Linked DNA regions of Schizosaccharomyces pombe. The gene in region 1 interacts genetically with each later gene. Each region holds a gene or a part of one and is shown in the gene's direction. Other genes may lie near its edges. The genes, in order: apc14 and apc15.

Region 1 (10,764 bases):
AAAGCAAGCACTTCTAGTGGGGCAATTGCTTACACCACCAAATGTGTTGTTGTTCCTGTTACAGCATCGGCTACTGCCACGGCAAAAGCTGCATCCGCAGCAGCTTCCTCAGCTGTTTACCCTCTTTTCCCACATGGAATTCGTTTGATCGATTCTGCTAACCCCAGTTCCAACTCCGGTAATGTTTACTCTCCAGTCGTCTTTCAGAAGCAAAACAATCATACCAACACGATTTTCACATTTGATGTTCCTCAAGTTTCCGGCAGTTGCGAACTCAACCTACATCTCGATACTAGCGGTTTCCCAATCACTGTTGAAGGCAGCAATGGTGTTGGTCAATTCATTCTTTTCAACCTCTCCTCCGTCGCCAACGATTCTACTGTTTACTCCAACCGTCCAAACCGCATTGCCGAAATTGGACGTTTCAACTGCTCTAGCTCTGGTTGCGATTATGCTACCAACGTTACATGCCCCAACTCATACACCGCGGTTTCTTATGAAATGATGGCTCTCACTGATGACTCTTATTTGAGTTTCTTCGAAGAAGCCGATCCTCTTGAGGGATTAACTTTACGAGTTTAAATTTAACTTATTGAGAAATCAAGAAGCATTATCTAGTTTAACTTCATTAGCATTTAAATTCATTACTTTTCTTTCCTTTATGAGTAATAATTTCCAGTAATCTTTGGGTAGACGCTATTGTTAAATGGAAAAATCTATTCAAGGGCCACCGATTATGTTGTACCATTTACCTAAGTAGACTCAGTGTATGCTGTATTTATTTTTGCTCACCTAATGTACCTTTAATATTTTTCTATATATTACCACTAATTATACGGCATTCGAAAGCGTTATTTGTACGAGCAAATTTGCGTTTTTTAACCAAGCAACCGCCGATAAAGGCGATATAGCAAAAAAAATTTACGTACTCAAAAATATGACTGATAAAACTGATATTATAAATTTCGATAGTTTAGCAAGGGATTATCCCGACTTGAGATCTTTGTAGGGCGTTCTCAATGCCAATTTATATACTAATTGAACGTAGCGTCAAAAATGGTCGCATTGATTTTTGGAACGAAGATGCTATTCGGTTGGTAAACTCACATATGTTAAACGATTGCTTACCTATAAATTAGTACGTTAGGAAAAGCAATTCTGGATCGGGATTATTCTCTTCGTGTTGAATTTCCTGAGAATCGTCTATGTCCAATGGTAAGAGATGTGTAGCATCACCAATGTTTCTTTTAAACAAACATTTCCCTTCTCTCATAAATGCTAATTCATTTAAAGGTTCCAAACCGGTATATTAACACATTGTTTATTCATCATTTATAACCAACTTTTCAGAGCCACTTATATAAGATATATTCATGACCTGTTGTCAAGTACATCTGGGCAAAAGGATAAAAAAAGAATCATTGGTTTGGATATTGGTACCGGCGCTAGTTGTATATACCCATTATTAGGCTGTCGTATGTACTCATATGATTTCGTTGGCACCGGTAAGCTTTGATTTTTCACAGGCTTTTACTAATTACTCAAAACTCTAGAAATTGACAAATTTTCTTTTGAAACAGCCAAGAGCAATATTCTTCAAAATAACATGGAATCCCAGATCAAAATTGTGCTTCGTTCTAAACAAGACTGCTTACTCCCTGATACCGAAGGGATGGAAGAATTTACCTTTGTGATGTGTAATCCCCCATTTTATGAACATGAGGAAGATTTCATAAATTTTAAGCAAAATCCACCATCGGGTGTTTGTACTGGAGTTTATCATGAAATGGTTACAGAGGGTGGTGAAGTCGGATTTGCCAATAAAATCTTAACTGAAAGTAAAAAAAGGAAAGGAATTCAATGGTATACCTGTATGTTTGGCAAAAAATCAAGTGTACCTGCTGTGGTTGATAAATTGCGTGAACAAAATGTAAGTCCTAACTAGCCTTTAAAATTTTTTTAACTTATATCTGTAAGATATCAAATTATGGAATTTACGAACTCGCACTTGGAAAGACTAAGCGCTGGATAATTTGCTGGTCATTTCAGGCTATGCGTCCACACAATGTATGCTGCTATCGAACGATATTTAAAATTCATGATACTAACAAAAGGATCCAAAGGAACTTATACGTCCTTCTTCAACTTCCCTTTCTAAATATTTCCCCCATAAGGTTCTTCAGAATTGGACTTTAGACCCAGAATTATGTGCTCAAATTGATGACATTCTACAGAAATTCTTAGATGATAACAAAATTCCGTGGTCTAAAAAAGGATCCGTTTTGGAAATATCAACAAAATCTATCACTTGGTCTCGTAAAGCTCGACGGATATCCAAAAGTCAAACTTCTGTTTCTAGTCTGGAAGGACAAATGAAATGTGAACTGAACGTAATAGATAATCAATTGCAGTGTAAATGGATTGAAGGATATGATTATAATGTTTATGAAAGTTTCTGTTCAGCTTTAGCGCGAGCTTTACGGGACAATAAAAAATAATTCAATTCGTGAAAATTCACTTGGTAATCTTCTTATATTGAATAGCCAAAGCTTTGAATTTTGTATTTGAATAAAATGTCTTAAATTGTATAAAATAAATGATTAAAACAAATGACATGCGATACATAATAATTTTATCTCTAAAATTTGATGCCTTAAAGCTCATTCGAGTATTGGGTTCGAAACCCATTTATTTAGACTAATGAGTGCTTTCACTTAATTATTAAAATTAGTATCAAGCTTTTTCAACAGTCGAATCTGTATTAAGAAGTCTTAGCTTCTCAACTTTATTCTCAGATACTGGAAAAATAAATGCACATGAAGATCAGCCTATTAATATCACAAAGCTATTTTGGACTAGTAAAACTTCAGAATCCATTATATCTTAACATAAAATTGATGATTTTATCTATTGTTGATGTGTTTTAGTCGAACATAATACTTGATTTTTGCAGTTGCCAGGAACACCAAAGCACACACCATGAAGTTGGTACGGTAAGTATGATAAAAAATCTATACATATTCCTAACGAGTTTAGCTTTTTAATGAAGCTGACGAATGAAACTGTCTCTATTGAGTTAAAAAATGGTACGTAAAGCCTTACTTTCGTATAATAAATGAACCAAACTTACCAAATCGCGTAGGCACAATTGTTCACGGAACGATTACTTCTGTTGATATGCAAATGAATACCCATTTAAAAGCTGTTAAAATGACTGTCAAAGGTAGAGAGCCAGTGCCTGTAGAAACTCTGTCAATTCGTGGAAATAACATACGCTACTACATCCTCCCAGACTCGTTACCACTTGATACCCTTTTAATTGATGATAGCACAAAGCCAAAACAAAAGAAGAAAGAGGTAGTACGAGGTCGTGGACGTGGACGTGGCCGTGGAACTAGAGGCAGAGGCCGCGGTGCTTCTCGTGGGTTTTAAATATTATGAAAATATTCTCTTTTCGCACCCTTATTTTTGTCAGAGAATTTAAAATTATTGGCAATATCAATCGGCCTTTGCATTTTATTTTCTTTTAATAGATTTGCTTTGTGATGACATTGAAGTATTGCTGAGAGTGTATGCGTATTCTATGTTTTCCATGTTTCTATCATTTATCTCTGGTTAAATATCTAGACCGCTAAAAAAATCCCTTTCTTTCTCATACGTTGAAATGTTTGATAATCAACCTACGATAGCTTTGCTGAGGTGGCTTCATAAATGTATGTATAAAACGACTTCAGAGTTGTTTCACTGGTATATAATTAAATATTACATCAAAAATTTCCTTAATTTATTACGAGTACCCAGTTAAATAAACGTGTATTTTATTAACTTCTAAAAAGATGTGAAATTTGAAATAAATGTGATATTATGAAAAATAAGGAATCATTCCTCAACATGATTTTCAAAGTTTTTCAGTAAGCTCCGGGACGATTTCAAATAAGTCACCTACAATTCCCACATCTGCTGTTTGAAAGATAGGAGCATTTTCATCGCGATTTATAGCAGCAATGACTTTGCTATCTTTGATTCCGGCAAGATGCTGAATAGCACCATCAATTCCAACAGCAATATAAAGCTTTGGGGCGATGATTTTTCCAGTTTGACCTATTTGTAAAGAATTATCAGCATAGCCAGAATCCACGGCAACACGTGTAGCACCAATTGCTGCACCCAATTTGTCAGCCAAAGGTGTAAGGATGCGTTCAAATGTCTCTTTGTCTTTCAAAGGTCGACCACCAGCAACAACTCTTTCGGCAGAAGACAAATCAGGCCTAGCATTCTTTATAATATTCTCACTAACCCATTCTTGTAGAGCAGCTGGTTTTGGATCAATACCTTCAACAACAGTGGCTGCTCCTTCACCACTTGAAGGAGCGGCGTCAAATGCAGATGCACGAACGGTGACGATTTTAATAGGATCCTTTGTAGACACAGTAACGTTTACGTTTCCCGCGTATGTCGGACGAACGAATGTGTCAGCAGAAACCACACCAATAATGTCACTAATCTGCATCACATCAAACATAGCAGCCAAACGAGGCATCACCCCTTTACCAACAGTTGAATGAGCAGAAAAAACATGACTAATTTCATTTTTCTTAACATTTTCAAAAAGAACATTGGCTATTTGATCGGGAATGTTATGCTCATATGACGGATTCTCAACGTAGATAACCTTTTTCAAATCGTTCACCGATTTTGCTACCTTTTGAGAAATTTGAGAAGAATCCTTACCGATTACAAATCCAAAAACATCCCCACCGGTACGCTTTGCTGCTTCTACTGCTGACAAGGATGCTGGAGACAAGTTCCCTCCCTGATGCTCAAGCAACGTCAAAACACTAAACCAATGCCTTCTTCCACAATTTATTTTAAAGTTAGAAGAAGACAAAGCCCTAGAAAATGTCCGGCTAGTAGTCCTTAGCATGTTAGAATACTTCGTTGTAGGTTTGAGGGTGAATGAGGATGTACGCTGACAATATGTATGTTCACATATTATACTAAGAAAAAACTTAAGTAATACAGTCTTACATTTCAAAGGTAAAATAACTAAAAATAAGTAATCGTGATATATTTAAGTGATTTATCTACCAGAAATGATTTTTCGTGAGTATGAAAACATCCTAATTTTCATATACCTTACATTTATTTTTTTTGATAACCAACTGCCAATATTTTGACAAATTCTTTCAATACAAAGTTTAAAGTCTATAGCGATTGCAATAACTAGGTGCATCATTAAAAATAATAATAATGAAAATTCTTTTCAAATAAAAAAAAATATGAGAAACTCAATGTATCCTTCTTAGCATTACAGTTATTGAATCGTTCATCAACGTTAAAGTTCACTAAGATATTAGGAGACAAAAGGTGACTTCACTATTTTATTTTAATAACACACTCCACATTCTTATACCACAAGCATTGCTTTCTAACGATGGCAAGGAGTTTTGTTCAACTACGCACACAAGATAGTAAATAAACAAGAAAATCGGTGAAATTTCCTAATCACTTGTCCAAACCTCTTCACTTACTGCTTAAATACAAAAGAGATTACAATTTTCATATTTAAACGGTTCTCTTTTAAAGAAGAACAAATCAATGATTGAAGTCATTGTCTCTTAGTACTCACGGGGGTTTTTTTTACTTTTGTATATTAAAACGTTTCGAGGTCATATGGATCCGTTTGCTGGTACTGGTCAGTCCAAAAGTTATCGAACTTTTGGAAACGTCTTTCAAAGACTCTCCATGTCTGGCAACCCAAAACCTCTCGCCAAGAAACCACTTCTACTCCCTGAAGCTTCAAAAGCCATTGAATTTTGGAATTATCGAGATGTTATAGGTGGTGAAGAGGCCGAGCAAGAAAGAAATGAAAGGGCAAGTAGAATTGCAATATCCAGAATTGCTTCCAGCAGAAGTTCTATTCCAGAATACAGGCAAGCTATTATGCAGCATCTGACAAAACATGTTCAACAACTTGACCAGTTGGCTGAATGGTGATTAATGAGTTTATGATATAAATTCTTATCCTTTCAAACACCACATCACTAAACACTAAATTAATTCAAAATATTAAGAATAATTTCTGGCAATCTGTGTCTCAAGATAGTTTTCCGCTACTACCCTCTTGGTTGCAGCTTTCAGTTATCCTTTGCAAGTGTATCAATAAATTCTGCCAGCTTTAAATCTTTTTCTGTAAGTCCCTTTGTATCGTGAGTTGTCAACGTAATATCCACTTTATTGTATACATTAGTCCATTCGGGATGATGATTTAGCTGTTGTGCACGCAATGCGACACAGCTCATAAATCCCCAAGCTTCAATGAAGTTTTTAAAACGAAAGCTTTTAAATAGTTTTGTATCTCCTTGTTGAAGAATCCAGTTGTTTTTTGATTTCGAGACTAACGCCAGTAATCTAGCTGATGTGTTCATTTTTTCAACCTTCTAAACCAACGTTTATTCCAGAAAAAATGTTTTTCTTCAAAATTTAGGTAAAATATCAATGTGATGTGTGTAGAACGTAACTGTTTTAATACACTCAATTTACCTCCTTTTACTTTGGTATGTGAAAGAGAACGAAATCATATCGTCTTGTCTTATTCACAACATCAAAAGAGTAAATTTAGCTACTACGCTAAAAGAACCTCTTCTACAGAGGAGCATTAGAATTATATTTGTTAATTGTATAAACAGTTTCCTAGTTTTATTTCCAAAATAAATAAAATATGCTTGGTTTGGTCTTGTAGCATTTTATCCATCAGTTTTTATGGGTAAATAGTCATTCGCTCTTTTTAATGTTAAAATATTTTATTCATGGAACACTTCCTAATTTTTAAAAGTTTATCGACTTGGCTTCAACACATAGTGCTTCTATAAGTAACAAACATGTTTTAAAACAAGATATCAATACCATTAACAATATCATTTTATACATGGATCAATCATCCATTTATTCGATAACTATAATCAAATAACCTCCTGTTTGCATAAGAGAAAAGGTGAGACTTAGCTTACGAGACATTTATGAATAAAAATAAAAATACTTGTAAACAGTTAGGTTTCACTGCAGCAACATTCCAAATATCAAATGGGACCTTCAAACACAAAATTATAAAAACCCAAGACCGCCTCTTTTCTCGAGAAGCATGAAGCATTGAAACCAAACTCAAAAGGTTTCTTTCACGTCACTTATCAAAAAAATTGTGGAATTCCTTTGCTGACTGACATTTTCAAGCTCTTCAACTTCCTTTCACCCCTTCTTGTGTTTCGCTTCCAAGATGTATAAAATGAAGGAATTGTCATGTTGATTTTTCATCCTTTAAGAACAAGATTCCTCTTAGGTTTCTGTTCTTTCCTCAAATTCTCAATTGACATTTGTTGGTGATATAAACAACCATAGAGATAGAAGCGGTTTCTCAGGCCTTCATTTTTTTTAAACCTCAAAATTTAACTTTTGAACAATTCGTCACGTACATCAAACATCATAAACGTTTACGAAACGCATTGTCCCAAAAATAGTAAACTGGCTAAGCAATAAAACAAAAAATACACATATGTTTCTTATAAGACCTTTAATAAGAAAGCCAAAAAATATTTACTCAGCAAAGCTTTAATCTAACCATTGTTCACTGACTCTCGCTTTACTGAAGCAACATCGCTAATGATCATTTTACGTTTAAAAAAAAATAGAGTGTATACGAAAGCAAAACAAAACAAACAAAACAGAACAAAACAAAAATAATGTAAACCCAAAGTATAATCAAAAACCATCATCAGCCTTAAAATCTCTTATACATGCATACAAATCTTTTGGAATAGAATAAATATATCGCTTTTACTCTTTTTTTGTTCTGAATTCCCAACCTCTTTTTAATTGCCAAAAGTTATTAATGCTTCCTTCTTACTTGTCTTCGAGCACTTCTACAACCGTGGTACACACATATTTACCGATTTATACGTGATACATTAAAATCGAATGCGGCGTTTACTAATGTTTATAAACAAAAACGTGAGGTTGTCTACATTTACCTTCTCCACTTTTGCGCATAAAGCATTGTTTTCAAATCACTCAATAAATGCGATCTAGTTTGATCGTTGGCTAATTGGATTTCAGTGGGGAATTTTAATTGCCGAACAGCTTTATAGTTTATGTGAAAAGAAAAGAAAGTGAGCAAGTTGCTAATATTAAATGATGTAGTTATCTTTCATGCCAGAGAACAATCTGGATGTCAAACGACCTCTGTGTAAAACGCGCAAATATAGGAGACGCATGCGCTGAATAAGGGTTGAAAGAAGAAACACTGTTAAAAGAGGGTTTTGCATTGGCGAAAAAAGATGTATGGAAAAAAGCACGCGTAAATAACAAAAGAAATCCTTACCGAATTATACAGCAAGGTGGAGATTACTACACTAATGAAGGCAAATAAAAAATGTGATTTCTTTGACTTGTCCATGTTTTTCGGGATGGATACAACGTTGTTTTTTATCTATCATCTTTTTCAAACTTTCAAAAGGACTAACTTACCTTTACAAGCTATACACTAATTACCACTGATTTGAATAAATAGCCTTTTGCTTCAGTAGACAAAGCAAACACCATAAAAGAAAATGCATTTAGCGTTTCTCGCTATTTACTCTATCTAACGCGAGTCGCGTTGGCTTTCAATCTGTCCAAATTGGATCAGTTGTCCCGCTTTTTATGGGATTTTTTTTCCATTATCGTCCTCTTATATTAGAGCTTACTGACATCGCATCATAACTTTAGATAGAGTAACGAAAGCCGACCGATTTCTTTGTTCCTATTTTAAAGTTTCTTTGTTTTACAAACCCTTCTCGAGCTAGCCCCTCAGGGGCATTGCAAAAACGTTCACAGTAAATGCCTAACAGTAAAGGCTACTGAAATTTTCATCGTAGGTCTATAAATTTCGTTGATTCCCTTTGTTTTCAACGCTTTGTTTTCGCCACTGAAAGCTGCTGTTGAGATTCTTTGTTTACTTGGCTTACTTCGTTTCTTTGTTACTCTTCCCACTTTGTGTTACACGGGACAAAGGCAGGGGTAGCATAAACAGTACGTCCCATTCAATCAAGCATTCTCCCAGTAATTGTCGTAATATTTGCGAGCAAATAAAGTCCTTTTTGACTTTGTGATTTCTTTGAAATAACTTCTTTGTTCTCTAATTACTGTATCTCATTATAAAGCATCCAAGCCCTCTCATTATTCCCAACATACAATCCATCCTTCCTCCAGCAATCCGGCCGGACAGATTGTTGTAATTATCTTTACAGAACTATTTTGGGCTGGCTTTTTGATTTGTACTGAAAAGCATCGCATTGCATTGCATCGTTTTTGTTTTGTTTCGCTGCTGCCATTTAGGCTGTCGTATATTTTGTTTGTCTGAAACTTAACGTTCCTTTGTAATAGAGAAAGCAAAAAATATATACCCCATTTTAAAAAAGGAAAGGGAAATTGCTTTTTTTTTTTTTTTTTTTTTTTTTACACCTCTAGTTAGTTGAAAAACCATATGGAAAAAACTTAAGTTTTTATACATCGTGCATTTACTTCTTTTCCATTACTCCATCCTTGCCAATTGTTTCTCTTACCGTTCGCATTTTCCATCTTAATAGGACACACAGCTGCCATCATCCGCGCCAATAAACCTATCGACCGTAACAAAACATTGATACGTTTATTTATCTAATTCATTTCTTTCCTTCTTAAAATCCCCACCCGCATCTTTGTTACCTTTGAACGCAGTTGCTACTTCTCTTTTCTTTGTTTGTTTGTTTATTAATTACTTGTGCCCACTCCGAGACCAACCATCGCTTTCCCATTCCTTGTTGAAAATAGCCCATAGTAGGCATTCGCAAAGAAAGTTCAAATTATATCTTTTACCACATTATCTACATTTTCTGGCTGTATTCTTGAATCCTCATTTTGATCTTTACCAATTTTTCTTGAATCGTTATTGTCATTCCCTGATATCTTTTTCTCTTCTTTGTCCTAGAATCGATTCCTTTCTTCCCCTTTTTTCGTGTGCTTCACTTTTTAATTCCTTTTTTTGCAACCTAACTGATACGTATATATACATTTATATATATACGATTCCAATCCATTTTCTCTTCATATACGCATATACATTTTTTCTTGTATATATGTGTAAAGTTTCTAATCGATTATTTTAAATTTTTACTTGCGCTTTTCTTCTGTGGTGACAATATCCCATCTTTTTCTTTTTTTTTTAAAAAAATTAAAGGGTAGTTTCCTAGTTTTATCCCGAAAATTTCTCCTCCTCTAACGTTTGTTATTCTTTTGTTAATTTTATGAAAGACAAGTTTGTTTGTTCAAATCTTGGTTGTTATTCTTTTCGTTTGATTATATACATTTGAACGACAATTGTGATTTATTGTTGATTTTTTCTTTTCATTTCATTATTCTTTTGTTCTTTTGCATTTTCTCATCGTTTGTTTGATTTACTAACAACCATCTAACCCCTTCCTTTCTTTTCAACTTTCTGGTCTTTTAAAGTTTGTATTAACTTAATCCTTTGCAGTTCCTTTCTCTCCCTTTCTTACCACTTCTAAACAAAGTTTTATAAGTTATTAGTCATTAAGTAATTTTTTTTACTCTTTATCTATTTTAAGGATTATCGGCCAGCTTTATTGTTGCCGTTTTAACACATAAATGATTATGGAAACCGAATCACCTTTATCAATCACCTCCCCTTCTCCATCTGATTCAACTTTTCAAGTTGATATGGAGAAAACAATG
Region 2 (5,657 bases), on another chromosome or scaffold:
TACGCGACGAACCTTGCATATTAAAATCATTGGCATTCCCTAAATGAAAATGGGCTCCATGGTCTGATAAATGAGTGCGATCTTCAAAATTTTGGTTGTATACATACGAAGATTTCTCCAAATGCTTACTTCGAGGCCCTGTATCTCTATTATCGTAATGTTCTCGTTTGGACCTATATGAATCTGAACGACTATCTGGATGGTAAGAATCATATCGTCGATGATGATTCGATGATCTTGAAACCTGAGTGTTTTTCGGTTTGTCGTAATCCTCTTGTTGTGAAGGCCTATTGAAATTGTCAAGATTTATACTCTCCGCCCATTCGTTTTTGTAATGTTTTGTATCATCTGTAGAGCTCCAAGAACCATTAGTTTCGCCCCAACCATCATCCAGGTTTCCCCATGAAGCTTCAGGATCATCGGGGGCAAACCAAGAGGATTTTGCTTGATACTTCGGACGAAATTGTGGATCGCTATTCGAATCAAGCTCCATAAACATCGACGTATCGGTATGATCAAGAGACTTAGAAGATTCACGAAATCCAGTAGAATTATCATCCCAGCCAACAGACTTAGAGTCAGAACTGCGAATATCATTTTCACGAAGTGAAATGCTTTCATGCAGTCTAGAAGATGACTCTATTATTGAATCAGAAGTAGAGTTGTCCCACGATTCAATCTCCATGCTTCCTGAGCTTTTATCTAAAAACTTGTTTCTGCTTTTCCGATGTTTGCTTTTTTTCGTTTCTATAGGTTTTTCAAATTCAGTAACGGAGTTCTTTCTTAGTTGTTTCGACTTCACTGGCTTCTCCTTTCCATCCGTAACGAGTGGAAACTCAACATTAGATGATGTGTATTTTTTTGAAGCTCTTACCTCCTTTGTGACTCCAGAGGAAGTATGGGTTGCCTTTGCTTTAGCAGGACTGTTCTTAAGTTGCTGTGGGAAGTCAACAGCAGCCAGCAATTTCCTCTGCGATAGCATTTCAGAGCGGCAGTAAACTGCTTCTTCAGCTAGTTCCTGCCTTTTTTCTCTCCTATTTTTTAGATTAGAAAGCCAATGTTCAGTGAATAATTCGTGAACTCGCTCTAGCGAAACAGTTGCTGATCGCCGAGATGTTCCATGATTTTCGGGAAAGTCTGAAATACAAGCTAAAAACGGTAAACTTGGAAGATATTTTTTGATTCCTTTCTCCATTAAAATCGTAGCTCAAATAGGATCAAAAGCTCTCATTAAATTATAGTGGTTAGGAGTAAGTTAAGAAGTTTGATGAGTATGTGTAACATTAGATAGTAAGGATATTAATCGAGATACATACAGGTATCTTTTTTCTGAAATTTTGTATTTGCAAATAATTGAATCCTAAAAAACCCAATTTAAAGTACACCTACGTGAAATTGAAAAGAGTAGCCAGTTTCAATTACTTAAATGCTGAAACTTGAACATGAAACGTTACGGAACATAAGTATTTCTTATCCCTTGACCTCTTCATTAAAGGAAAATAAGCATTTTGATACTCTTAGTTAATAATCTTGTTCAAGCGTTGCAATAAACATTTCAAATCAGTCAAAAATAAGAGGAGAAATAAGTTCAACAGCTTTTGTTAATTAATACGTGAACCAAAAATTAACACGAAAGTTAATTTTGTGGCTTCTCAGCATTGCTTTGTGTTTACATTTTTTGTTTATTGTACAGAACTGGGTTAGTAAATAACCCAGTCACCATAGTAACGCCTTTAGTCTTACAATACACCAGCTGATTCTTGAATACCAATATTTATTTGCAGCATAAAATCATGTCGTTTATGTCGTTGATGGCTAATACAGCCCATCAACTATGGTATCCTACGTCTTTTCCTTCTATGAAAGAATTGGAAAAGGAAGAAGTTAGACTGGAGACTCAGGTATGTTTGTTTACGATTTTCAACGAGTTTCTGTGCATGAGAAAAGTCTAACTTGAACGAATCTTAGGAGCTTGCAATTAAACAGTTTGGATTTCGCACTATTCGGCCCATTGGATTAAATAGGTCTATGCAAGAGCAGCTTGATTTGGAAGAGCAAGAGCGCGAAGAGGCTAATCAAGACACTGAGTTGGATGAAGAAGAATTGGGAAGTGGGAGCTTTCCTGAAGAAGGCGAAATGGACGATATGGATGGTGATAATGAAGAAGTAGAAGATCACGATATTGAAGAAGTCGACTTGGATGCTGATATCACAAATGCTGACGCCTCTGAATTTTACGAAGATATAAGTGAATACGGATTTCAAAATTAAGGCTTTAAAAATAATAATATCGAATCAACCATGATTGCTAAAGCTATGCTGCTGCATTACCCGATTGAAAAATGTATGTACAATCGAATTTATTCCCATAATTGTTTACGAAAAAAGAACTTGAAGATAATAACTGGATACACAACCTATGCATGCTAAAAGGCTATCAACTCTTTATGATTCAAATGACCCATTTGATTCTACTGTTTTGAATTTATTTAACGATGTCTAAATTTACAATGCTAATTTTATTTAGCATTTTTAAGCAATGTTCTTAAACCACTAGCCTTTTACATCATTGACAGATCCCATTTGGAATCCTGACTTACTGTTAACCGTATAACTTAAATAATCATTTTCTTGGCTGTTCGTTTTTGGTGTTTGAATATTCATATTGGAGTGCAACAAACCGTTGTGTATTTCTTAGACATCGTTGAAACTAATTTAAAGCCTACCCGAAACTATGAATTTGTTTCTATCTCGGTTCACGGGGTTACGAAATACTTCATTTTTGGGTCATGCACGACCGTTTATGTTTCCACGTCGCTATGCTCATTCTTTAGTGGCACATAATATTGGTCATATCAAGCTAGATCCAAATGAAGGTCTTTTCTTCGTGGATAATCTCGTCAATACTCCAACCTATTTCTACATTCAGCGATACACTGCGTTGCTCTTTCAGAACAACTTGAAAAAGCAGCTAAGTGCTGCTTTTCCAAGCTCTGATACAATGCAGTTGGAAGATATCATATTCAGATGGCAAGATGGAGGAGCATTTTTAAAAGTACGTTACAAGGAATTCCCACAAGATACAGAAGCGGTTTCAGAACACGTCCGTGAATCATTTCGAAAGCGTCCAGTTCGAACAATTTTACACCCTTTCTCTACCCCGATTCCACACATGGTACATGGTATTCCTTGGCTTCAAGATTTATATATATTTCCATCTCGTACAGTAGATGTGAATTTCGAAGGTCCGCCCCTTTCCCAGGAAAGATTGTATAGTATTTTTAGGACATATGGAAAACTAAGATCCGTGACCATTAATTCACCTACTTCTGCTACTTTGAGTTTTTCATCGCTAAGGTCCGCTACGTCAGCTTTAAACTGTATGCATGGTTTTGTTTATGGGAAAACAGAATTCCACATGCGATACAGACATATGAACCGCTTTGTCGCCTTCAAAGACTGGTTATTCTCTCATCCTCGTTTTACTATTCCTTTGGTTGCGGCGGCTATTACAGTTTTAACGGCTTCTTTATTCGATCCGATAAGAAAGTTCTTTGTCGAGACAAACATTGTACATGGTCAGAAGTTGAGAAATATCAATGTTGTTGGGTGGGTCAAAAAGAAAACTCGCGATATAGTTTTGAGTCCCTTTCACGAAAATGGTACAAATATAAAGGCACCGATTTGGACAACACGTGAAAAGGATTGTGAACAGTTGAAAGAATGGTTGGATGAAGCATTACATTCTTTTATTGTTGTTCAAGGTCCTCGTGGTAGTGGTAAGCGTGATCTGGTAGATCGAGTTGTTAAAGAACGAAAAAATGTTTTGTTTTTCGACTGTGATCGCTTATTCTCCACTACTAATACGGAAATGTTCGTAAGTACTCTTGCTAGCCAAACGGGGTATTTCCCCCTCTTTAGCTTCCTAAACAACATATCGTCACTTATCGATATGGCTGCACAAGGTCTCATAGGACAAAAAACGGGAATTGTTTCTTCTAGTGAAGGACAAGTGCGGCAAATTCTTAACACAACACAAACGGTATTGCGTTCTCTAGCATTACGAGAGCATAAAGAAGCCGATACTAGTGTGTTGGATGAATCTGAGTTTTTAGAAGTTCATGCAGATCGCTTACCTGTTGTTATTCTCGACAATTTCCAGCTTCGTAAATTATCAAACCCGATGCAGAGAGTGGTTGCTGAATGGGCTGGTAATTTGGTAAAGGAAGGAATTGCTCATGTACTAATGCTAACACCCGATGTTGGAGGCACCAAGTCATTAGAGCAATATGTCAACGGTTGGGAAAATAGAACATTGTTATTAGGAGATGCTGACCCTGTACTTGCTCAGCGATATGTCATAGAGTCTTTACCCGAAGAGATGCAAACAGAAGAATTGAGGAAAGAATTGCGGGTCCAATTACCGAAGATTGGTGGCCGACTTCGTGATCTTGATTATGTAGCTCGTAGGTTGCGGGTTAATTCTTCCAGTGTTTCTGAAGCAATTGGCGGTATTGTAAGTCAAAATGCCTCTGATATTTTGCAAACATTTTTACGGCCTGCTTCTTTAACCAGTGAGGAGAAGCCAACGTTCACTCCAGAAGAGTCATGGACCTTAATTACTTATTTATCTCAACATGAATATATACCCTATCATATGTTGATGCTTGACCCACTGTTCAAAGGACACGACGATGCCGTTCGTGCCTTGGAAGAATCAGAATTGATTACTATTACCACAGTGAATGCAAGACCGGATAAAGTCTACGCTGGAAAACCTGTATATGTTACGGCTTTCCGGCAACTTGTAAATGATCCAGTATTAAGTGCTAATATGCAGTTGGTGAGATGTAACGCGTTAATTGGCATGGCTAACAATGCTATCAAGAATGATGAACAGGAGCTACAAATGCTAAAGGACCTTGGGAACCTTGAATCAGGTGTGAAGGATCGTGCTCATTACTTAACGACGCGTATCCAGAAAAATCAAGGTGTTATTACTGATAATGAGAAAAGTATAGAAAGGCTTACTGAGGCTTTGAAAAAAATCGACTAAGATGCGAAAGCATATCATTTAAGATTACGTATGTTTTTATGAATTCTTTAGCATGAAGCTATAATGTCAACAATAATATCACATTTAATGACTACGCATTAACGAGAGAGAAGGGAGTAAGGATTTGGTAGGTAGTCCAAAAATCGTCGTAATATGAAGTGAGCGTAATGAAGAATTAGCCTAGGTAGAAAAAAAAAGAAGAAGCGAAACCGGTTATAGTCATTAACCTTGACGGGTTTTATGTCTCGGATGTTTTTTGCATAGTACATACAACCTACCTTTGCGACGCACAAAATAGCAGGATGAACAACGCTTTTTTACTGATGCTTTCACTTTGAAACCTCTTGAAAAGTTCCAAGGTAGAAGGCTAGGAGAAAGTCTGAAAGCAGGGGTTAAGAACATAGATGCATTTTTTAACAACCCTTTTTGTGCATTAAAAGCAGAAGGGAAGACTCGTGACAAAACACCCACAGCAAAAAATTTACGACCTAATGAAGCCATTATAAGTTAAAAAAAAAGTGAAACTGGGACTTCAAGTCAAGATGTTTAAATTTTTTTGGATCCGAAGTAATTCTGAGCTAAATAAATGATGTACGATGGA

The links.
Region 2: mutations in apc14 (region 1) and apc15 are lethal when combined (synthetic lethality), as found in Schizosaccharomyces pombe (one study listed by BioGRID).

Annotation. Positions count from the first base shown.
Region 1 is NC_003424.3:4,513,206-4,523,969, reverse strand, and holds apc14 (anaphase-promoting complex subunit Apc14), read left to right. Parts: upstream 1-5,462; 5' UTR 5,463-5,673; coding exon 5,674-5,997; 3' UTR 5,998-6,137; downstream 6,138-10,764. Other genes in the region: SPOM_SPAC27D7.09C (But2 family protein ), read left to right, coding at 1-582; methyltransferase Mtl16, read left to right, coding at 1,020-1,093, 1,140-1,215, 1,294-1,304, 1,351-1,505, 1,554-1,930, 1,978-2,067, 2,124-2,498; Sm snRNP core protein Smd1, read left to right, coding at 2,980-2,993, 3,037-3,086, 3,143-3,432; etf1 (electron transfer flavoprotein alpha subunit), read right to left, coding at 3,899-4,924; omt2 (4-alpha-hydroxytetrahydrobiopterin dehydratase), read right to left, coding at 6,138-6,428; RNA-binding protein Mei2, read left to right, coding at 10,678-10,764. UniProt on the Schizosaccharomyces pombe protein: Component of the anaphase promoting complex/cyclosome (APC/C), a cell cycle-regulated E3 ubiquitin-protein ligase complex that controls progression through mitosis and the G1 phase of the cell cycle.
Region 2 is NC_003423.3:1,514,934-1,520,590, forward strand, and holds apc15 (anaphase-promoting complex platform subcomplex scaffold subunit Apc15), read left to right. Parts: upstream 1-1,762; 5' UTR 1,763-1,793; coding exon 1,794-1,901; exon of another isoform or gene 1,902-1,968; coding exon 1,969-2,271; 3' UTR 2,272-2,641; downstream 2,642-5,657. Other genes in the region: tas3 (RITS complex subunit 3), read right to left, coding at 1-1,195; RNA-binding protein Yme2, read left to right, coding at 2,735-5,056; rtc6 (mitochondrial 54S ribosomal protein bL36m), read right to left, coding at 5,279-5,557. UniProt on the Schizosaccharomyces pombe protein: Component of the anaphase promoting complex/cyclosome (APC/C), a cell cycle-regulated E3 ubiquitin-protein ligase complex that controls progression through mitosis and the G1 phase of the cell cycle.